3 linked regions of the Lonchura striata genome follow. The protein of the gene in region 1 binds, or shares a complex with, the protein of each later gene. Links are inferred from orthologs where the notes say so. Each region holds a gene or a part of one and is shown in the gene's direction. Other genes may lie near its edges.

Region 1 (7,397 bases):
CACCTCTGCAAACCAAAACAGACAATTTTTAACTTCTTTTACCAGATGCAGTTCATAAAACCACAAATCTTTTTCACAACCTTTCCTCTGGGGAGCCTCTTAATACCAAGAATCTCAGGATTAATTTCACATGAAGAAGGGAACTGCCCTAAGGGGAGCATTGTTCACCTTGATAATTAAGGACAATCATTGTGGCATTGGAAAGAACGCTATCAGTCTCAAGCAAATTACTGAAAATGGAGACTATATGAAAAAATGTCCAAAGAGTACATGGTATTTTTAATCTCTTGCATGGATTTTATGATTTGGAACAGATCAAACTTTTTCCAAAAATCTGCATGTTGACAGTGTAAGCTGTACTTAAAAGTGATGTGTTTTATTTTGTGAGCATGGATTTCTATTGATTTTGAAACCCTAGTGTATAAAGAGTTTAAAGTATATTTCTAATACACAAGGCTTTCTGTCTCACCTCTCACAGAACTCACCAATCTGCAATTTCTACCGACAGAATTCTACCTACCACTCTACAGTTTAAGAATCCAAGATGAATGGCATTGTCATTTTCATATGTATAAATATTTACAAATCAGGCTCATAAAAATAAATGAGGCCTAGTCCATACATTTTTCTGTAGTTTCAAAAATCAGTTTACACCTGAGATAATGTGCCTGACACTGGGAAAGTTCTTTTCAGATAAAGCCAGCAGACAGACGTGAGCTGCAGGCTGGCCACTCCTGCATAGCTGCAATGTTTGACATTCACTGGGCAACGCCTCACGCATTGTGCTGCTCTTCCTTTTGGACTCACTTCGGGGTCACAGCCTCATCTGGATCTGTATCCAACCCAGAAAAATACCTGTGGTTTGCTAGAAGCTTCATTTGTAGTGTGGTTTTCAAGTCAATTACCTTGAATTTCTGCTGAGTCCCAGAACTGACAGCACATTTGTTTTCCCCAGTAGAAACTGGGGAGAGAGGAGAGGACCAAACATAGGTGGGTGGAACATAATCCTGGATGATGAAGGCTAAAATTTAATTTATTTCCCCTCATGGTTGTATGTGATACATTGTACTAAACTTTGGGATTTGCTGCATTTCAATGTAACAAAGGAGAAAATTTGCATAGATAGATACTGCCATACATATCACTCAAATCTGGCTTCAGAAATTATTCAAGATTAATTTTTAAATTGTTTTGTTTTTTAGTTAAAGTTTGGCTCTATTCAGGGAATTACAAAACATCAAACCTCAAGGAAGAGGTTTGATATTCTGTAATATCAAAATATTACAAAAGGTTAGAGGTTTCCCTAATTTTCTCTTGATTGGTGTCAAAGTTTATGTCTTCTGTCACAGGGGAGGAAATCCCCACTTAGCAGTGGAATGGAGTCCAGCAGGCAATCTTCAGACTGCACTAAACTAGCAGAGGACATAAAATTTATATGGTATCAGGTGTTTATAACGTGCAAAACTACATGTATCCATAGATAAGGAAATAAACCTTTATTTTCAATAGTTAGGATTGGCATTATTGCTTTCTAGAACAAGAATGTCATCAAACAAGGCTTATCAACAAATAGAATTTTCGTTATTTAAATTTCCAATTTCCATTTACTGAACATGCTGTGAACAAAAATGGCAGGAGAAGAAATTAAATGTACTTCTCTGTCTTTGTTGTTGTGGGTGTCACTATACAGGGTGGGACTGAACACATCAAATTAAAAAGAAAAATAAAGTTAATCCTGATGGTTTTGGGTTTCAGAGGAAGACAAGAGAACAAAAACTTGCAGTGAGTTTCTTCGTAAAACACAGGAAGAGGATGAAAGAAATTTAAAAGAACTATTTTTAACTAGTTTTAATACTAAGACATCTTTTAAACTACCCTAGATAAAAATCCAGTTACACATGAGATTTTGTACTTTATTTTGTAGATTTTGTGAATGACTCATAAGCTTGCAGTCATATCATTATGCAAGTTATATTAATAAAATATGTATGCTTGGCAAAAATTTCATCCTATCCTGCCAGAATTTAGTGCACCTTTTTATTGGGAGGCATTTGACGTCAATTCGTGCCCTTTGGAGATGAGACATGGTGGGGAAAATGAGTCTGTGATTCTCCATTCCAATTTTAGACTCCTAATATCTTGAATTACATGGAAATGTATCCATTACTATTAAAAGCACAAAACCTCTTTTTGAATACTTGTTCTACATCACACATCATTGCAGTAAAGAACAACCTGTGTGCTCCTGATGTGGTCATCTGCTCTTTTTCCAGCCAATAAACATTGAAAAAACAGTTGATGTTTCTGCTGTCCATCACTACTTGTATCTGTTTCTGATCAGCCCTGTGCAGAACTCCATGGCTAATGCCATGCAAAATCTCAGCAAGTCTCAGTGGATTTGTTCACTTGCAGATGTTCTGAAAGAAAAAGTAGAAACCGTGACAGAAAACACTGATTTTGATACCAAACACTTGTATGCTGCTGCAAGCTGCAAGGAAAACTTATTTTTTCCTAGTTAATGATAGTAAGTGTCAGACTGACTTGGATAATTATGACTGTTCTACTCAAACATCCAAATCTTCACCCAAATGAGTAAACTGTTGGAGTGGTGTTTAGGCCTTCAGTGCTTAAAAAGCTGACTCAGGCATCCATCAGCTGACTCTCCTTCTGTCAGACAAACAAGAAGCTGCTTCTCCATCTCCAGGTAAATATGTGCTGCCTACATGCTTTTCATATAAACCACATATAGCTAAGAATAAACTTGGGAAGAAATTGCCAATAAACAATGGTTTCTTGAAGCAAGCTAGAGGAGCCTTCTAATAGAAGCAACAATGCCAAGCCCTTGGCCTTAAAGCAAGATTTCCTTGCAAGTCTGGATGGAGCCCAACCAGTTTACAAAACACTGCAACAACTGCAGGAACTGGGGCAAGTGTCTGGGCAGCTTCCCTCCTTCCTGCAGCAGCGTTTAGACCTCCTTTATAAACTGAACCTACCAGCAGAGCTGGAATGGGTGATGTGCTTCTGGGTCAGCAGAGCCCTGAATATCCAGCATGATGCAGGCTGACATCACTGAAGGTTTCATCTGCTACTGCCCTGTTCCTGTGCAGCTCCACCACTCCAATTACTGTCAGATCCAGTTGTTTGTCATCAGGCGCTGAGATGGGTGACGCTTCCTGAGGGCTCCCTGGAGCCAGCAGGGAGGGTCTGCTGCCTGCAGCCAGCTGGAGGAATGCAGCACAATCTGTTAGACCTGTCAGAGTGACCCCAGGGAAACCTGCACACGCCAGCCCCGTGTGGAAGCTGTGCATTTTAAACATGGCCCTCACCTCCACCCCGTCTGGAGCACCTTGGCAAAGTGTCACAGGCTGACATCAGAAAGTAAATGCAGGGGTGGCTTTAGGCAGATGGCTGTGAACATTCCCCCTCCCTCTGCAGAAAAAAGTAATTTCCCAATACCTTGAGGAGAGGCCTCACCCATTTTTCTCAGGTCTGACAGCCGAGGGCTTAGGCACTAATTGATTCTACAGGCTTCCAACCATGCGGATTAGTCCTACAGCCTCTTCCCCAAGGAAGCGGCTGATGAGAACTCCCTAAAGACTTGGACACTTTTACTTCCTTCTGCTTATAGACAGGGCCTCCTGACACAAGGATGTGGTCAGGAGCTGCTGCTGTTACCCCTTCAGAGCAGCGCATCTCATCCAACAGCTGTTCCACCCATCCAGCCTGAGCCTGGGGCTCCCTGGCACACAACACCCCAAACACTGACTTCTTTTACTGCACACAACGCCACAAGACAAACTCTTCAAACTGTGCCCATTCCTGCACGCAACACCTGTGTTTTCCATTTCATAACCTGACCTGCATCAGATCCCCTGGATGTGAGGGCTAGCACCGCACCAAACCACGGGATGTGCGGCCAATTTCCAAACCGACCGCGTTTGTGTGGTGGGAATGAGTTCACACCAAGGTGACGGCCAAGGTGGAGCCAGAGAGAAGCTGAGGTAGAATGGCTTGCAGGGATGCAATGGCTGGGGAAGGAGGCTGTCATAGGAACAGGGTGCCCAATTCGGAGGCAAGCTGGCAGAGGAGCCGGCGAGAGGCCGACGGAGGAGCCTGGTGTTGCACCCTCCGCCCGGCTCCATCTCGGGGGAAAGACAAAATCCTTGCCATGGGCTGCCATGGAGCCTGGAGCCACCTTGGGTCGGCTGTCGACACCCAAACGCTTTCCCAAAGGGAACGACTTTCGTGAGCAGAAGAACGCCTGTGCCCTGAGGAGCAGCCCCCCAAAACAAGGCTGTTTTAAAAAAAGCCACTCCGGCTGCAGCTGAGCGCCGTCCCGCCCGCACTCGCGGCCCCCCTGGCTCCCCCGTCCCGGTTCGGCCCCGGCAGGAAGGGGAGGGACCGCCGGCCTCTCCAGCCGCCCGCGGAGCTGCGAGCCGCCGGGATCGGCCCGGGATCGGCATGTCGGCGCCCGGGACGGGCAGGCAGCCGCCGCCCGCGGCGGTAAGGCGGGCTCGGGGACGCGGAGGGGCGTGAGGAGGGCGGCGGTGCGGTGAGGGGCGTGAGGAGGGCGGCGGTGCGGTGAGGGGCGTGAGGAGGGCGGCGGTGGCCCCGGTGCCCCGCGGGGGAGCGGCTCGGCGCCGGCACCGCCCTGGGCGCGCCCCGGCCGGGCCGGGCAGTGCCGGGCGGCGCGGGCAGCAGCAGCAGCCGCAGCCATGGCTTTCGCCCGCTGGTGGTACGCCATGGTGAGTGCGGGGGAGAGCCCCGGGACCACCCCCGTGGGGAGCCGGGACCGCCCCGGGATGCCGCTCCCGATGCTCCCGCCGCTCCCCGGCGTTCGGGGTGGAGAAGGGGGTTGTGGTGCGGCTGCCTTTTCAAACAAAACGCCCCGCTGCTTCGGGTCGGGTGGAAGCGCGGTGCGCGCCAGCTGTCTGTCCCGTCCGAGAAAGCGACGCAGGAAACTGGAGTTTTTGGTGCTGTTGGCAGTTTTCGCCCGTCGCCCGAGTGAGGCAGGCTCGCGGGGTGATGAAACCGCGGCGGAACGCGTAAGACAGGGTTTTATGCGGGGATGTTCCCGTTTTGGGGAAAACGGTGCTGCGCCTTTTCCCGGGAGCGTGCTGCGCACGGCAGGAGCCGGCCTTTGCCTTGTCCTCCCCGAGCTAACCACAGCTCTCCGTGTGGTTCGGATGGACTTGGGTCCTGCGACTGCTTTGAAAGGCTTTAAAAAGCCTTTAAGAAACCTTTATGGTTGCTTACGCTTAGGAGGAAGTGGTTGGCCTCTGTATGGAATGGTGAAAAGGAAAAAAAAGCCTGCATTCTGTTAAAGTTTTACGGAAAGCGTGTGTTGTGAAATGTTGGTTTCAGAGAAAATATCACTTTAATGCATTTCCTAAATGTGTGATAAGGTAGATGAAACCTCTTGAAGTTGTAACTGTACTTTTAAGTTGCTTCTTGTAGCTTGGATCAGTGTTTTCGGGTGCCAGTTATTGTATTAAGTCAAGTGTGGTGGAGGTGACACAAAATCACAAAGGGGAAAGTTTGAGAATTACTGCACTAAGCTATGGAATGGATGTAAAAGGCCTCGTTAGCTCTGTGTCATTGCATCCAAGTGAAGAAAGGAGATCAAGATATGGCTGTGTATGATGAGGTAAGAAAACTGCTCCCACAGCTGCTCTTTTGGAAACTCCTGGTTGTGATTGTTGGCACTTGTGGGACTGGAGTCCTCTCCCGTGCATAGGGAGGCAGGAGAGGTGGGTGAGAGGGACAGACACAAAGGACATTAAGGTTTTTACTGGCTGGTGTATTTAAAGCTGGGATTGAATGCAATAAGAATCTGGGTTTCACGTTTCCATTCCTTACCTGGCTTGATTGTAGCTCCCCTGCTACAGTCTTTGCAACTCTTTGCATCTGATAGTTTTCCAAGCAGTGTCAAAGATCTCTGTCTTCTCCCAGTTCCAGCTGAGAGCAAAAGTCAGATTCCCATCTCCTTAAATATCTGTAATACTGCGTTGATTGACTTAAGCTGAGAATCTTGCAAGACTTCACTTCTCACCCAGTTACTGCAAGTCCTCCAAGATGCTGCGCAGTGGCCTTAAACCAAAGGCTTGTTAATGCCTTCTGAATCTCCTGAGGTTTAGAAGGAATTTCTTGCAAGCAAAGCCTTTAGTGATGATTGGATTTTTGTGCACATAGGTGTCTGCTCAGTTGTTAGCAATTTTCTTGTGCTTTTTCACCAGTTACTCTCTAGTTTATGAGTGCTGTTTGAGTCAGAAGTTTAAAGGTGTGTTTTAATAGTGTGGTGACATTTTTGTGCACTTCAAAACAGGATGAAGATCTCAGTGTAAACTTTCTTCCTCATGACACTTATGTATTTTTGTGGATATGTGATTATGGGTAGGATTGTGTGGGTTTTGGGGTTTTTTTGGTTTTTTTTTAGTTAGTAAGGTTGGAAAATATTTCGAGCTGGCTTAAAAGCTACAAGGAATTGTTAGATCATGAATTAAACTAAAATTATCACTTCAGCTGTATGCCCACTGTTGATGTAAGAAAGCTGGAGCTGCTCTGACCCAGTGCCTTGGTTTTGAATCTGTGTCTCTGGCACTGAAATTTGAGCAGGAAAAGGAAAGATTGCCCAAAGAAAGTCAGCTTGTCATCATGAGTTGTGAATATGAAGGAACAGTGGATGTACACTGTCCCACAAAACCTGAGCTTGGCCTTCTGGCCAAGCAGATTGATTTACTGCCTTTTTTTTTTCTTTTTTTGTGTTGTTGGTGATTTTTGTTGTTGTTTGTTTTTTTTTGTTTATTTTCTTTGGTTGGTTTTTGTTTTGGTTTGAGTTTTTTGGGTTTTTTTTCGTTGTTTGTTTGGGTTTTCATTTTTTTTTTTGTTTTATTTCTTTTTGTATATTCCCTATTTTTAGTGGAGTGTTCAAAGCTTGAAAATTCAGATAAGAAAAGAGTTGTTGAAGGGCGTTATTGAAATGGGATCCCTCATCATACCTTATTCACCAGCTGTTCTGGGAACCAGCATGGTTTCCCCAGGTACATTGTGAAGCTGTGCTTTCTCAGGTTACCTCCTCAGGACAGCAGACTTTCCTGCAAGGCAGTACTTTCACAGGCTGTTTTATTATCTGGGGCCAGGGAGTGAGTGTCAGGGCTCTGTGTGTACACAGTGCATTACTCAACTTACTGGGAAAAAAAAAAAAAACAAAACAAAACAAAAAAAAAAAAAACCCAAAAAAACTACTCTAGTCTGACCATATGTGCTTTGTTTCCCTGAGTTGGAATAAACATATTTGTCCACTGAGTCAAAGAGTCTTTATTATAGATGCTGTTTGACATTGCCTTCTGGAGGGAAGATGTCATGCTTTTAGTGTCTGACTTGAGTTTAGGGATAGC
Region 2 (7,300 bases), on another chromosome or scaffold:
ACCTGCCAATAACAGCGATGGGGGAGGGGCCAGACCCCCCAAAACCCCCCAGACCCCCCAAACCCCCAAATTTGGGCCCAAACCTGCCAATAACAGCGATGGGGGAGGGGCCAGACCCCCCAAAACCCCAAATTCGGGGGTCTTCACTCTGGAATCTATCAATTAAATAATTAATTAAGGGGGTTGAGGCCACGCCCCTTCCCGGGCCATTTTGGGGGTCCCAAATCCCAATTTTTGGGCTGTTCACTCCGGAATTTATCGATTATTTTTTTGGGGGGGGGATCCATGCCACGCCCACCACTCCCCAAATTTTTTTTGGTGAATCCACCCCCCCCCCCCAGTAAAATAATTAGGGCTGTTCTCTCCGGAATTAATGAATGAATGAATTAATTAACGTCGGGAATTGATGCCACGCCCCTTTCCCGGATAATATTTTGGGGATATCGATCAAAAAATATCAAAATTTTGATTTTTTTTTTTTTTTAGAATTTATTTATTTATTTTCTCCCCCCCTCCCGACCCCTCCCCAAAACCAGGGCCCGAGGTGGGGGAGGGGTCCCAGAGGGTCCCTCCTGGCCGCCCCTCCCCCACCCCCGCAGGAGCAATAACGCCCCTCCCCCACCCCCGCTCGTGTCAGTGGCTTTAATGTCCCCAAAAATGTCCCCAAAAATGTCCCCTCCCCCCAAAAAATGTCCCCTCCCCTCCCCCGCTGCCGCATGGGCCCCCCCGGAGCCGCTTCTGCCACCAATAAAATCCTTTGTACCGGAAAATTGGGGGAAATTCGGGGGGAAATGGGAAAATTGGGAGAAAATGGAAAAATTGGGGGAAATAATGGGAAAAAATTGGGAGAAAATGGCAAAATTTGGGGGGGGGGGAATGGAAAATAAATGGGGAAATGGGGAAATTTTGGGGGGAAATGGGGAAATTTTGGGGGGAATGGAAAAAAATGGGGAAATGGGGAAATTTTGGAAGGAATGGAAAAAATGGGGAAATGGGGAAATTTTGGGGGGAATGGAAAAAATGGGGAAATTGGGAAATTTTGGGGGGAAATGGGGAAATTTTGGGGGAAAATGGACACAAATGGGGAAATTTTGGGGGGAATGGAAAAAATGGGGAAATTGGGAAATTTTAGGGGGAAAATGGACAAAAATGGGGAAATTTTTTTGCGGAAATGGACACAAATGGGGAAATGGGGAAATTTTAAGGAGAAATGGAAAAAAACTGGGGAAATAGGGATATTTTGGGGAGAAAATGGACAAAAATGGGGAAATTTTGGGGGGGAAATGGACACAAATGGGGAAATGGGGAAATTTTGGGGAGAAATGGAAAAAAATGGGGAAATAGGGAAATTTTGGGGGGAATGGAAAAAATGGGGAAATTGGGAAATTTTGGGGGGAAATGGGGAAATTTTGGTGGAAATTGGACACAAATGGGGAAATTTTGGGGGGAATGGAAAAAATGGGGAAATGGGGAAATTTTGGGGGGAAAATGGACAAAAATGGGGAAATTTTGGGGGGAAATGGACACAAATGGGGAACTGGGGAAAGTTTGGGGGGAAATGGAAAAAAATGGGGAAATAGGGAAATTTTGGGGGGAATGGAAAAAATGGGGAAATTGGGAAATTTTGGGGGGAAATTTTGGGAAATTTTGGGGGGAAATTTTGGGAAATTTTGGGGGAAAATGGAAACAAATGGGGAAATTTTGGGGGAAATGGAAAAAATGGGGAAATTTTGGGGGGAAAATGGACAAAAATGGGGAAATTTTGGGGGGGAAATGGACACAAATGGGGAAATGGGGAAAGTTTGGGGAGAAATGGAAAAAAATGGGGAAATAGGGAAATTTTGGGGGGAATGGAAAAAAATGGGGAAATTGGGAAATCTTGGGGGGAAATGGGGAAATTTTGGGGGAAAATGGAAAAATTGGGGAAATTTTGGGGGAAAACGGAAAAATGGGGGGAAATTGGGAAAATAATGGGGGAAATTGTGGGGGGGAATTTGGAAAATAATGGGAGGAATAGGGAAAAATGGGGGAAATTGGGGAAATGGAGAAAAAAATTGGGAAAATGTGGGGGAAATGTGGAAAAATTGTGGGAAAAATGGGGAAAATGTGAGGAAAATTGGGGAAATTGGGGGGGAAAGGGTGAAAATGGGGGGAAATGGGGGAATTGGGGGGGAAATGGGTAAATAATGGGGGAAATGGGAAAAATGGGGGAATTTGTGGGGAAGTGCAGAAAATGGGAAGAAATGGGGATAATAATGGGGGAAATGGGGAAAAAATGGGAAAATAATGAGGGAAATTGGGGGAAAATTGGGGAAATGGAGGGAAATGGGGAAATAAATTGGGAAATTTGGGAGGGAAATGGGGGAAATGTGTGAAAATGGGGGGAAACAGGAGAAATGGGAGGAAAGGGGGAAAAATTAGGAAAAGAAAGGAGGAAAGTGGGGGAAAAATGGGGGAAAATGGGGGAAATGGAGAAAAAAATTGGGAATTGTGGGGGGGAAATGGGGGAAATAGGAGGGAAAATGGGGAAATGGGGGAAAAAGGGATTTTTTGGGGGAAAAATTTGGGATGGGGCGACACGGAGGGACCCTAAAACTGCTGAAGGACATGGGGGGAGGGGGAGACTTCAGAGTGGGGGAGGGGACCCCCCAAATTTGGGGGGAATTTTGGGGGGGGGGGGGGGGAACCCCAAAAAGTGGATGGGGGAGGACAAAATTGGGGGAGACCCCAAAAGTGAGGTGGGGGTGGGGGAGGGAACCCCCCAAAAAATTCCTCCCCCAAAAAATTCCTCCCCCAAAAAATTCCTCCCCCAAAAAATTCCTCCCCAAAAAAATTCCTCCCCCAAAAAATTCCCCCCCCAGCGCCGCCATCTTGTCCCGGCGCGCGGCGGTGACGTCACGCCGTGACTCATTTGGTATTCACCGTTAATCTGCATAACCCCGCCCTGTGGGGCGGGCCCGACTGTCAATCACGCGTCTGGCCACGCCCACTCTGATGGGCGCTAAGGGGCGTTGCTGTCAATCAAGGAGTTAGCCACGCCCCCCATGTTAACCCCGCCTATTAGAGGAGATATGAACGTCTAGGCCACGCCCCCGCCCCTGGCCACGCCCAGGGCGCGCCCCCATTGGTCCCTCCCACCGAGGCCACGCCCCCGGGCGGCTCCCCGGCCACGCCCCCCCCGCGTGGCCCCGCCCCTTTCCCCGTTCCGGTTCCGCGCTCGCTCCGGACCGGCGCCGCTCCCGCAGGTACCGAACCCCCCCCACCCCCCCGGGACCCCCCCGGGACCCCTCGGGACCCCCCGGGACCCTCCCGGTGCTCTCCTCCCCCCCCCCCCAAACCGTGACTCAGCGCGGCCCCGCCCAGTCCCGGAAAGCCGCGCCCGGGAGCGGCACCGGAGCGGGACCGGAGCCCGGGGAGGGGTCCCGGGGGGTCCCGGGAGGGTCTGGGGGGTCCCCGGAACCCCCCCGGTACCCCGGGTGTCGCCTAACGGTGCTGTCTGCTTCTCTTCCAGCCGCTCCCAGTGCTCCCAGTGCCGCCCCGGTGCCCCCCCAGTAACTCCCGGTGCCCCCCAGTAACTCCCGGTGCCCCCCAGTAACTCCCGGTGCCCCCCAGTACCCCCCAGTACCTCCCAGTGCCCCCCAGTACCTCCCAGTAGCTCCCAGTGCCCTCCCAGTACCTCCCAGTAGCTCCCAGTGCCCTCCCAGTACCTCCCAGTAGCTCCCAGTGCCCTCCCAGTAGCTCCCAGTGCCTCCCAGTGCCTCCCAGTACCTCCCAGTGCCCTCCCAGTAGCTCCCAGTGCCCCCCAGCGCTCTCCCAGTGCCCCCCAGCGCTCTCCCAGTACCCCCCAGTACCTCCCAGTACCCCCCAGTAGCTCCCAGTGCCCTCCCAGTACCTCCCAGTAGCTCCCAGTGCCCCCCAGTACCTCCCAGTAGCTCCCAGTGCCCCCCAGTACCTCCCAGTGCCTCCCAGTAACTCCCAGTGCCCTCCCAGTACCCCCCAGTAGCTCCCAGTACCCCCCAGTAGCTCCCAGTGCCCTCCCAGTACCTCCCAGTAGCTCCCAGTGCCCCCCAGTACCTCCCAGTGCCTCCCAGTAACTCCCAGTGCCCTCCCAGTAGCTCCCAGTGCCCCCCAGTACCTCCCAGTGCCTCCCAGTAGCTCCCAGTCCGGCATGTTCCTGGTGAAGGGGCTGCTGGGGGGCGGGGGCGGTGGGGGGGGGTCCGGGGGGGCCTCCCGGGGGGCATCGGCTCCGTCCTGGGGGGGCTCCTGAGCGGGGGGGCGGCGGCGGCGCCGGGGGGGCCATGGGGGTCCTGGGGGGCGTCATCAGCGCCATCAGGTGAGGGGACAGCGGGGGACACGGGGGCTGGGGACACTGGGGGGGCTGGGGACATTGGGGACACTGGGAGGATTGGGGACACTGGGGACATTGGGGGGGCTGGGGACATTGGGGGGACATTGGGGACACTGGGGGTATTGGGGACACTGGGGGGACATTGGGGACATTGGGGTGGGGGTCCTGGGGGGCGTCATCAGCGCCATCAGGTGAGGGGACAGCGGGGGACACGGGGGTTGGGGACATTGGGGGGGCTGGGGACATTGGGGGGATTGGGGACACTGGGGGGACATTGGGGGGACATTGGGTTGGGGGTCCTGGGGGGCGTCATCAGTGCCATCAGGTGAGGGGACAGCGGGGGACACGGGGGCTGGGGACATTGGGGACACTGGGAGGATTGGGGACACTGGGGACATTGGGGGCGTTGGGGACACTGGGGGGACATTGGGGGGACATTGGGTTGGGGGTCCTGGGGGGCGTCATCAGTGCCATCAGGTGAGGGGACAGCGGGGGACACGGGGGCTGGGGACATTGGGGGGACATTGGGGGGACATTGGGGGGACATTGGGGGGATTGAGGACACTGGGGGGGCATTGGGGACATTTGAGGACATTGGGGGGATTGGGGACACTGGGGGGACATTGGGGACATGGGGGGCATTGGGGACATTTGAGGACATTGGGGACACTGGGGGGGTTGGAGGGATTGGGGACATTGGGGGGGACACTGACGGCTACTGGGGGTTGGGGACATTGGGGGGACATTTTGGGGTGGCAGGTGACACTTTTGGGGGGGCAGGTGACATTTTGGGGTGACCCCCTCTGCCCACCCCCCCACAGCGAAGCCGCCGCCCACTACAACCCCGAGCCCCCCGTAAGTGACCCCCGCCCCCTCCCTCCCTGGGGACCCTCGGGGTGTCCCCTGACTCCCCCACCCCGGATTTGGGGTCCCCTGACCCCCCACCCCGGATTTGGGGTCCCCTGACCCCCCCACCCCGGATTTGGGGTCCCCTGTCCCACTCACCCCGGATTTGGGGTCCCCTGACCCCCCCAACCCCGGATTTGGGGTCCCCTGACCCCCCCGACCCCGGATTTGGGGTCCCCTGTCCCCCCCCACCCCGGATTTGGGGTCCCCTGTCTCCCTTCCGTGTCCCCCTCCCAGATTTGGGGTCCTCTATCCCCCCCCCGGGTTTGGGGTCCAGGCTTTGGGGTTCCCTGACCCCGTTTTTGGGGTTCCCTGACCCCGTTTTTGGGGTTCCCTGACCCCAGATTTGGGGTGCCCTGCCCCCCGTTTTCGGGGTGCCCTGACGCCGTTTTTGGGGTGCCCTGACCCCCCGTTTCCGGGGTGTCCTGACCCCGTTTTTGGGGTGCCCTGACCCCGTTTCCGGGGTGCCCTGACCCCATTTTTGGGGTGCCCTGACCCCCATTTTTGGGGTGCCCTGACCCCGTTTCCGGGGTGCCCTGACCCCATTTTTGGGGTGCCCTGACCCCCATTTTTGGGGTGCCCTGACCCCGTTTCCGGGGTGCCCTGACCCCCATTTTTGGGGTTCCCTGACCCCGTTTCCGGGGTGCCCTGACCCCATTTTTGGGGTTCCCTGACCCCGTTTTCGGGTTGCCCTGACCCCTTTTTCGGGGTGCCCTGAGCCCGTTTTCGGGGTGCCCTGACCCCGTTTTTGGGGTTCCCTGACCCCGTTTTCGGGGTGCCCTGACCCCCCGTTTTCGGGGTGCCCTGACCCCCCGTTTTCGGGGTGCCCTGACCCCGTTTTCGGGGTGCCCGCAGCCCCCCCGTGCCCACATCTCCACGGTCGATGCCAACGAGAGCGAGGAGGTTCGGCAGTTCCGGCGCCTCTTCACGCAGCTGGCGGGGGAGGTGAGGGACCCCCGGGACCCCCGGGACCCCCGACCCCCGACCTCCAGCACCCCCAACCCCCGGGAGCCCCGACCCCGGGACCCCCGGGACCCCCAACCCTTGGGACCCCGGGACCCCCAGAATCCCCAGGACCCCCGACCCCAGAGACCCCCGGGAGCCCCGACCCCTGGAACCCCGGGACCGCCAACCCCCTGGACCCCCAACCCTTGGGACCCCGGGACCCCCGACCCCGGGACCCCTGGGACCCCCGACCCTGGGACCCCCGACCCTGGGACCCCCGACCCTGGGACGCCTGACCCTGGGACCCCCGGGACCCCCGACCCTGGGACCCACAGGACCCCCGGGACCCCCGACCTCCAGCACCCCCAACCCCTGGGACCCCCGACCCCTGGGACCCCTGACCCCTGGGACCCCCGACCCCGAGACCCCTGGGACCCCCAACCCCTGACCTCCAACACCCCCGACCCCAGGACCCCCAAACCCCGGGACCCCCGACCCCTGGGACCCCTGGGACACCCGACCCCCGACCTCCAGCACCCCCAACCCCCGGGACCCCCGGGACCCCCAGATCCGTGGGGGTGCACTGGGGTGTACTGGGGTACACTGGGATCCACCTGATCCCTTGAAACCTCTTGGTTGGGGTCAGAATCTGGGGGAACCCCCAAGGTTTGGGGGTCCCCCAAGATTCGGGGTCAGGATTTGGGGGTACCCCCAGGATTCGGGGTCAGGATTTGGGGGTCCCCAGACTTTGCGGAGACGGGTCAGGATTTGGGGTCAGGATTTTGGGGTTTTTGGAGGTCAGGATTTGGGAGTCTTCAGACTTTAAGGGGATCAGGGTCTGGGGGTTCCCCCAGGATTCGGGGTCAGGATTTTGGGGGTTCCCCCAAGAATTCGAGGGTTCCCCCAGGCTTTCGGGGGCTCCCCCAGGATTTCGGGGGTTCCCCCAAGATTTTGGGGCTCCGCAGCCCCCCCTGACCCCCCGTTCCCCCCAGGACATGGAGGTGAGCCCCACCGAGCTGATGAACATCCTCAACAGGGTCGTCACCCGCCGTGAGTGCCCCCCAAAAACCCCCGGGGGCTTGGGGGGGGATTTTGGGGTGC
Region 3 (7,896 bases), on another chromosome or scaffold:
AGAGTGTAACAGGGAAAGACAGATGAAAGGTAGGATCACCCCCACTCTGGAGACAGCCTGAGAGAACAGGGTTTTTTTTAGTCTGGAGAAGAACAGGCTCCAGGAAGACCTTAGAGCGCCTTCCAGGTCCTAAAGGCGGCAACCAGAAAGCTGGAGATGGAATTTTTACAGGGTTTGTAGTGATAAGACAAACAGGAATGTATCTTCAGATTGACAGAGGGGAGGTTCAGATTAAACATTAAGTAGGAATTCTTCACTGTAAGGATGGTGACGCTCTGGAACCGGTTTCCCAGAGAAGCTGTGGGTGTCTCATCCCTGAAGTGTTCAAGGCCAGGTTGGATGAGCCTTTGGGCACTCTATTCTAGTGAAAGGTGCCCCTGCCCATGATAGGGGAGCTGGAACAAGATGATATTTAGGGTCTCTTCCAACACAAACCATTCTATAATACTATCAGATTTTAATAATGAATTTCAGTTTTTATGTTTGGAAAGAGGCTGAGGACAACCCCTTTTTCTGGGGGAGGTTTGGACCTGGTGACCACCTAGTGTGCCCACCACAACTATTTGATTCCAGTGATTTGTCACAGCACTTCAAATCCATTTTCTAAGCTTGATTAGCAGCAGCATGTTTTATTTTGTGTAGAATGTGATACACAAGCACCATCTAGAGGTTATAAAGGAGATGATGAAGACTATAGCTGACTACAGCAATAGCTGACAGCTGTATTATAGGAGGAAAAAAAATTTAAGGTTCCCCATGACTCAAATACTGCTGCTGAAGTGGCATTAACCCTTAGGGTTAATAGTTATAACAATTATTCTCACTTTTGTTGCCTCTGGGATTTGCATATTTTTGCCTGGCTCTTCTTGCTTTCCTTTCCCTCTCCCCATTTCGTGATGATAGCGAGAGGATGAAGGGGAATAAAGAAGAACCAATTAAACCAGAAAAATGCATCACCTGAATTTCAAAGAAGAGACTGAAAATTCCATGCAGTCAGGACTGTTCTTTAAATGGGGAAATCTTTAGAAGAAAATAACTGCTGATTACCCAGCAGCTTCAGGTATGTTTCTGATATAGAGCATTAGAGAGAAATAAGAGGACTCTCTTGTACTGCATCACTTGGCTGATGAGGATTAAACCTGCTTCACTGTACTTACTGTAGGCCCTGCAGCATAAAAACAAATCATTTTCATTCAGAGAGCTTGTTTTCTCATATTCTATATGTATGGGTTCCTATCCACCCTATTACTGTGACAATGGAGTGACTATCAATAGGAACACCATTGGGAGCTATGAAAGTTCCTAAATGTTTGTCTCTAAGATTATTGTTTTAAAGGTTGCAATTTTTAATCTGAGTGTTTGGGGAGGGAAGGGTTGCCACAAGAAGCCTGGCAGTTTCCCTATTGGGAAACACATCTAAAATTAGCTCTGATACTGCTTGGTTGTTTTATAAAAGCCATGAAATTGTTGGTGCCTGAGGAGGAGAAAGATGACATCCTGCAGAAGTAATGCCTGAGTAATTCATGAGTTGGGCTGATCCAGAATGATGGTTCAGCACTGGGAAGGAAGCTGGGAAGGATAGCTGGATTTTGCAGGATGACCCAGGTCTTTCTGACACCTCACACTGAACTGGCCAGGGCTGGAGCCAGCTTGTAATGTTGGGGAAAGCTCAGTACCTCTCCAGATCCCAGCTTCAGACAGGAAAGCAATTCCCTTCCTCTTGAAATACTACTACTGCTACTGCAAGCTTCTTCCCCTGGGAAACCACCCTCATCCTAATGAGGAGGGGGCAGTTCCTGGGAAGGAGAACAGGAGCCCAGAAGGTGCACGGGTCCTTTCCTCCCTTCCTGAGCTGTTAGTCATTTGTTCCCCAGTATCCATGTACAGAGAAAGGACAGAGGAGCAAGAGAGAGGAGGGATGATGCAAAGCAAAGCAGCTCTGGGTTACTCACAATTGCTGAGTGTGGGCACAGTGAAAGAGAAGCCTATCCTGCCTGAAACTCCATGCTGTGAATGGCAGCTGGATGCTCCTTATCAGGAGCTAGAATGAGCTGCTGCAGCAAAAGCTGAAATCACTCACTTGCAAAATGTGAGTTGGTGACTTCTTTGAAGAGCTACAGGTGTACAGGGAGATTAAGAAGAAATCTGATTTCTTTTTCTTTCTGATATTGCCTGGTTTGAGGGAGACAAAAGTGGGTAACTATTGATGGAACTGCTATTTTTACTTAAGAGTATTACACTGCTCTCACAGTCAAGTGGAAATCACCTCTTTCTCTAAAAAAAAAAAAAAAAAAAAAAATGGGTGCATTGTGTGAGTATGTAGAAAATGAAGAAATTGGCTGGTGTAGTGCTCAAAAGAACTTCCTTCCCTCAAACTGTGGACTCCCATCCACATCTGCTGCTGTGCTGGAAGTAGAAGCAGGTGAATTACCTGGCTGCAGAGGACTTGGTGGGCAGGGGCTATTCAGATGGCTGCTGGGACAGCCAACTTCCCAGATAACAAGAGAAATTCTGTATTACACCAGTATATCCTTATCCTGTCATTAAACCACATGGGACAGCATGGTCCTTATATGTTTGGGACCATCTAACAAGCCTGGCTGGCAAATATACATCTTTCCATCATTGCCCAGGTCCCTCTCCCCCTGCTTAATTGAATCATTGCTGGTTCAGTCTCTTTCTGGCTTTGTTCCCTTCTGTTCATGTCATTTACTGTTTGTCTCAGTCTTAACCCTCATTTCACCACAGATACTCTAAGAAAACTCTGGCAGCTCTGACTGAGCAGAGCAGCCAGGTAAGAGTCTTGCACACACTTGGTTTTGATTGCTGTCCAGCAGAGGTTCTCAGCCGCCAGCAGATTCCACTGTGGTAGAGATAGCTAAGAAAAGCAATTATATGTCAAATTTTCAACCCAGCTCAAACTTCTGCATCTGCTGGAAAATAGCTAGAGCAGAAGTGTTCACAAACCAAAACTGTGAGTGGAAACCATTGCTTTGAACTGACTCTGGTTTCCTGTAACCCTGACTCTCGTAAAACCAGAGAAATCTGACCTGTGGCAGCTGTACAGACTCAAGGCACTGCATGGAGCCAAAGAAACACTTTTTGAGTAGCTCTATGGCTCCCAGATCCCTCACATTAGGATGCAACACAGCCGATTAAACTCCAGGTGGTGAGGTGCTGTTGTCTCCTGGTCCAGGAGATGGCCTTGCCTGTGAGATAACTCAGCAGTGCTTAACAAATCTAAACAGCTGAGCAAAACCATCCTCCAATGCCACTCTGTGTCCTCCTCGAGCTTCAGCACAGCCATGCTGGAGACCTATGCTAGGCTAAAAGCACACCCTCAATTGAGTGCATGTAACATTACTGGTTCTGCTTCCAGCTTTCCATGTGTGATTGATTTCCCATATACTGCTAGAAATTCCAATATTCTCTTTATAAAGAGAGCCTTTCTGACTCATAGGGGACAGGAGGCATCTTCAAAGAACAGTGAAGCTGGACTGTGCCTTCCAGGTTTGGACAACTGGGCTGTCCTCTTGCGTGGCCATGATCTACACAGACATGTGCTGCTCAGACCATTAGTGACTAACTTCAAATAGATTTTGGGGGCTTCCTCTGCTACACTGGGAACGGAATGGGCAATGCTTAGCTCTTTTTCCTGTTTAATGACAATGGCTTCTCATGAACTGTGCAAGTAGGACCTGTTCTGAGCTTAGGAAGAGGAATAATAAATGATGAAAGTGCAAAACTAGCAAGCAAACGGACAGTGATACACAATGGTTTGGAGAATCATGCACCAGCAATGAAGGAAAACTCCCCACCACACCTCAGCAAATGGTACTGCCAGTAATTTTAGGTTGTTTAAGCATCTTCAAGAAATAATGTTCATTTTAGTCAGATAGGATGGCTCCAAAGCACTGTTTCATGCATCCAGGACTTGGAAAACTCTGCAGAAAGAGGTGCCACTGTGGGCGGTGGGTGCAGCATGAAGGGCTCCCGGCCTCTGTGTGCTGCCCAGGGAACACTGCCTGGCACCAGCACATCCTGAGTCAGACTTAAAATATGAAACAAATGGTTTGAATTCTCCCTCAGAGAGTTGCTGTTCTATGCGGGTGCCAGCAGCAGCATTTCAGCCATTCTTGGCAGCCAACTCACTGCAAAAACAGAGACTCTCTCTCCCCCCACACCACAGATAGGTGTTTCGGGAAGCTTGGGGGGAACCTCACTGTTTGTGGTTTGGGCTGTGCCGGGAGTGCAGGTGGGTCCACACCAGCAGTGGCAAAACATGTGCTGTGGTGACCACCAGCAAATCAGGCTCTAAGTGATCTCTGTTACTTGCGATGTTCAAAGTTGTAACAAGGTGACAACACAGGTACAGACATACCATAGTGGGATTCGAGACACATATTTTCCCTTCCTTTTTGTTTGTCTGTTTGTTGTTGTTTTTTTTTTGGGGGGGGGGGTGTTTTGTTTTTTTTTATTTTTTTTCCCTAAACTTAGAAAATTTATTGGGGGGGGGGTTGTTTTGTTTTTTTATTTTTTTCCCTAAACTTAGAGAATTTATATGGATAGTTCTGGCTTTTACACGGAAAATACCAGCTTTCTTGAATTGATGCGTACATGTGGCAATAGGATCACCAGCAGGTGTGAAGCTGTTGAGGCGCCCAGTGAGGCAGCGATGCTCCTGCACGGGGCAGCGAGCTGGAGGCACGGGAGGGGAAGCTGCTCGGACCGCGGCTGCCGGCACAGAGCCACTCGAGCCAAGGCGGGGGTGCGGCGGGGCTGAGCAGCGGCGTGGCACCGGGCGGAGCGGAGGGCTGACGGGCGGGGCTGGACGCGCCGTGCCGGGCCGGGCCGTTCTGTGCCGGGCCGGGCGGGGCGGCGATGGCGGGGATGGCGGAGGCGCTGGCGAAGGAGCGGGCGGCGGCGGCGGGCGCGGGGCGGCACGGCCGCGCTGTGCCCTACCTGGGGCAGCGCTTCGGGACCCTGCGCCAGGAGTGCCTGCAGGAGGGGCGGCTCTTCCAGGACCCCTCCTTCCCCGCCGGCCCCACCGCCCTCGGCTACCGGGAGCTGGGGCCCCGCTCGCACAAGACACAGGGCGTCGTCTGGCGCAGACCCACGGTAGGGCGGCGGGGGATGGGGGGGCTCCCCGGTAGCATCGTTCTGCAGTATCACCCGGCTTCCTCCTTCCCTCGCTCCGTGAATTTGGGTGGATTGGATGGTGCGGGGGCGGCGGGTCGGGGCGCGGCTGCCGAGCGCGGTGCGAGCCCTCCCGTCCTGCAGCATCGCGCCCGTCTGGTGCAGCTGCGGATGCTCGGGGCACCGGAGGATCCCCTTTGCTCTGGCGACAGCCTGGCAGCGTGACTTGCTCTGCCTGGAAAACAAGTCAGAAAAGTCATTTTCCTCTCCATCCAGAACTCTCCGTGTGGACAAACCGCTTTGGGTAGCGCTTGGGGCTGTCTTTTCTGATAACTCTTTCCTTCAGCAGAGCCGTGAGTTGACCACCGTGTGGTTTATTCCCGAAGCAGCCCTGCCAGCCATGGGAGCCATGGGATCAGGAGGACTCCAGGGTGCCTCCAGGCACTTCTGAAGGACCTTGGTGTAGTCAGTGGTGGGGAGGTAATGGCAGAGCAGCGTGTGCACATGTGTGGAAATGCAGTGCACCTCCTGGCACGTCCTGTGAAGTGAGCTGGCCGCACACGAGCTTTGGTCACCAGCTCCCGTTCTCACTGTGCTTGGTGTGTGTGGTGCCCGCACCCGCTCCTGCCCTGCTCCATCTCTGTGGTGTTCATCTCCCGTGGTCAATGGTTTGGTTAATTTGCTGCAAGTGTGGCCTTGTTCCCTGCCTCACCTGTGGCTACGTGTAATGCAAGGCCTGTTTTGTTCCCAGGAGCTGTTTCCCAACCCCCAGTTCATAGCCGGCGGAGCCACTCGCACGGACATCTGCCAAGGGGCCCTAGGTAAGGTGGGGGCAGAAACCTGAGTTTTCCATGCAGGTGCTGCCCCAGGGCAACATGGTTTACGCATGGCTGTAACTCACTCTAATACCTCCTTTTGCATCCTACCACCTCCATTCATTTCAAATCAGACCTTTCTCATGTTTCCTTGGCATTTGCAGGTGGGGACCATGAGTGTGGTTACTGAGCACAGTCTTTCTGCATGCACCAAGCAGGGGTGGGACACACTGGTTTCCTGATGGTTTTTCTGATCATATCCTGTTCCTTTCACATTCAAATCCATATGCCTGAGAGTAGCCTGACTCATTTCTGCCTTTAACAGTCTGCTTGGAAGAGCAGTTGTGTGTGTAGCATGACTTCTCTTTCCCCAGTGGGAGAGAATTCTGCTGGGCAGGAGGAATCTCCTGAAATCTGGGGAGATGCTGTAGATAGAAAAGTTGTATGGGGGTCACCGGCTCTTGAGGAAGACAAAACTTGGGTGTTTCAGGAGGAATGGGCCAGCCTGTGATTTGTTACGTGAGGAGGAGACACCTGCATCCAAACAGCAGCTGGGAGATCCAGTGCTGTTTACACCCCAGTGTTGTGATACCATGGTGACATCCACTCCAGAAAAAGGTGGCTAAGGGTGAACCAGGCTTCTCTGGCTTTGGAACCTCCCCTCAGCTGTAATGAGTCACTACATCCCATGTGCTGCCATTTGGAGCCAAATACCATCACTGACTTTGCAGATCTGATACTGCAAAACCAACTCCAAATACTCTCCTTCAAAAGCTTCTCCTAAGGAAAAAACAACAGACCAAAAACAACAGACCAAAACCAAAAAACTTCACAAGGCCAGAATAAAGGATAATCCAAATCCCAAGGGGAAGAATTTGGTGCCTGGAAAACCTTTTCTGCACTGATGATCAGCTTTGCCTTACATGGATCACAGTTTCTTATAGTCCAGGTGAAACACAATTAAACAAATTTATGCACCTGGCCAAAGATTACTGAGCTGAAAGAAACCCTGCTCATTAGCTGAACTGTTTGGTTACACATTTCCTGCCAAGAAGCTGCCCTGCAGATGTGATGAGTCCATGTGCTCTGGATGCCCCATCTCTCCCTGCAGTACTCCCAGATGATCTGAAGGGCTCAGCAACAGCAGTGAAACTCCCCATGGGCACAGGTCTGTTGCTTCTTGATCAAGCCTTTGAGGGATTAGACTGCAAAAGCTTCCTATAGAAAAGAAGCAGTATAATAAAAAGCACAGGTTTCCAAAAGCACCTGATATCTTCCAATGAAATCTTCTCTATAACATCCTAAAATGTGATGGGACATGGACACTAAAAGTAAATACAAAGATCAAGTAAATGCAAGCTTAGGCAAATTTATCAATACAAATGCTAGTGTCAGATAAGGCAGTTGAAAAAAAAAAAAGAATTTGTACAGTGCATTTGCCAGCCCCATTGTGTGAAAGAACAGAGATTCCATCCAGGCTCTTAGGAACTCAGTGGCTATACAGAGAAAAGATCAAAAGCATCTAATTTTTAATCAACAGTTGTCACACAAGACCAAAATCCTGCCCAGATTCATGAGAAGACAGCCAGGAGAGTCACTGCAGTACTTAGAGACAGTGAAAGAGGAAATATAAACAAGAACACTGACAACCTCTGATTCAGATATACTCAGGAGGTACAAAAATACCAGCTGTGAGTCACTTCATATCCTCTGGTGATACCATACAACCCCATGGGAACATCTGACTGGTCCAAAGACCACTAGGGCAGCAAATGCTTTCATCAATTTAAAAACAGTGTCTGGTATTAGCAACAGCAATTTCACAACTTGAAAACGAAGCTTCAAATCTTTCATTCCTATGCTCTTGCTGCCACAGCATCTGCAGAGAAAAGCTAGAAAACCAGAAAGCATCTAAGTGATTCCAGAAACCAGCATCTCTACAGAA

The links.
Region 2: the proteins of CAST (region 1) and CAPNS1 are in contact, whole or in part, in a crystal structure (PDB 3BOW), measured with the Rattus norvegicus proteins. The link is inferred for Lonchura striata from reciprocal best matches to the Homo sapiens genes CAST and CAPNS1. Residues at the interface, in NP_445747.2 of Rattus norvegicus: Pro652, Ile653, Asp654, Ala655, Leu656, Ser657, Asp659, Leu660, Asp661; in NP_058814.1 of Rattus norvegicus: Phe103, Leu106, Gln109, Leu110, Ile125, Lys128, Val129, Arg132, His133, Leu136, Phe166, Trp170, Lys174, Gln177, Lys181.
Region 3: the proteins of CAST (region 1) and calpain-2 catalytic subunit are in contact, whole or in part, in a crystal structure (PDB 3BOW), measured with the Rattus norvegicus proteins. The link is inferred for Lonchura striata from reciprocal best matches to the Homo sapiens genes CAST and CAPN2. Residues at the interface, in NP_445747.2 of Rattus norvegicus: Glu571, Leu572, Asp573, Ala575, Leu576, Asp577, Glu578, Leu579, Ser580, Ser582, Leu583, Gly584, Gln585, Arg586, Gln587, Pro588, Leu596, Asp597, Asp598, Lys599, Val600, Lys601, Glu602, Lys603, Ile604, Lys605, Ala606, Glu607, His608, Ser609; in NP_058812.1 of Rattus norvegicus: Glu62, Leu63, Ser68, Lys69, Gln99, Gly100, Ala101, Leu102, Gly103, Trp106, Lys161, Asp162, Leu165, Leu166, His169, Ser196, Gly197, Gly198, Thr200, Ser241, Asp243, Ile244, Thr245, Asp249, Ser250, Glu251, Ala252, Val253, Val259, Lys260.

Annotation. Positions count from the first base shown.
Region 1 is NC_134642.1:81,128,129-81,135,525, forward strand, and holds the start of CAST (calpastatin), read left to right. Parts: upstream 1-4,388; 5' UTR 4,389-4,461; coding exon 4,462-4,503; intron 4,504-7,397.
Region 2 is NW_027461156.1:31,528-38,827, forward strand, and holds the start of CAPNS1 (calpain small subunit 1), read left to right. Parts: upstream 1-4,285; 5' UTR 4,286-4,298; coding exon 4,299-4,333; intron 4,334-5,169; coding exon 5,170-5,203; intron 5,204-6,109; coding exon 6,110-6,199; intron 6,200-7,191; coding exon 7,192-7,249; intron 7,250-7,300. UniProt on the Homo sapiens protein: Regulatory subunit of the calcium-regulated non-lysosomal thiol-protease which catalyzes limited proteolysis of substrates involved in cytoskeletal remodeling and signal transduction. Essential for embryonic development.
Region 3 is NC_134607.1:21,350,418-21,358,313, forward strand, and holds the start of calpain-2 catalytic subunit, read left to right. Parts: upstream 1-4,881; coding exon 4,882-5,118; intron 5,119-5,887; coding exon 5,888-5,957; intron 5,958-7,896. UniProt on the Homo sapiens protein: Calcium-regulated non-lysosomal thiol-protease which catalyzes limited proteolysis of substrates involved in cytoskeletal remodeling and signal transduction. Proteolytically cleaves MYOC at 'Arg-226'.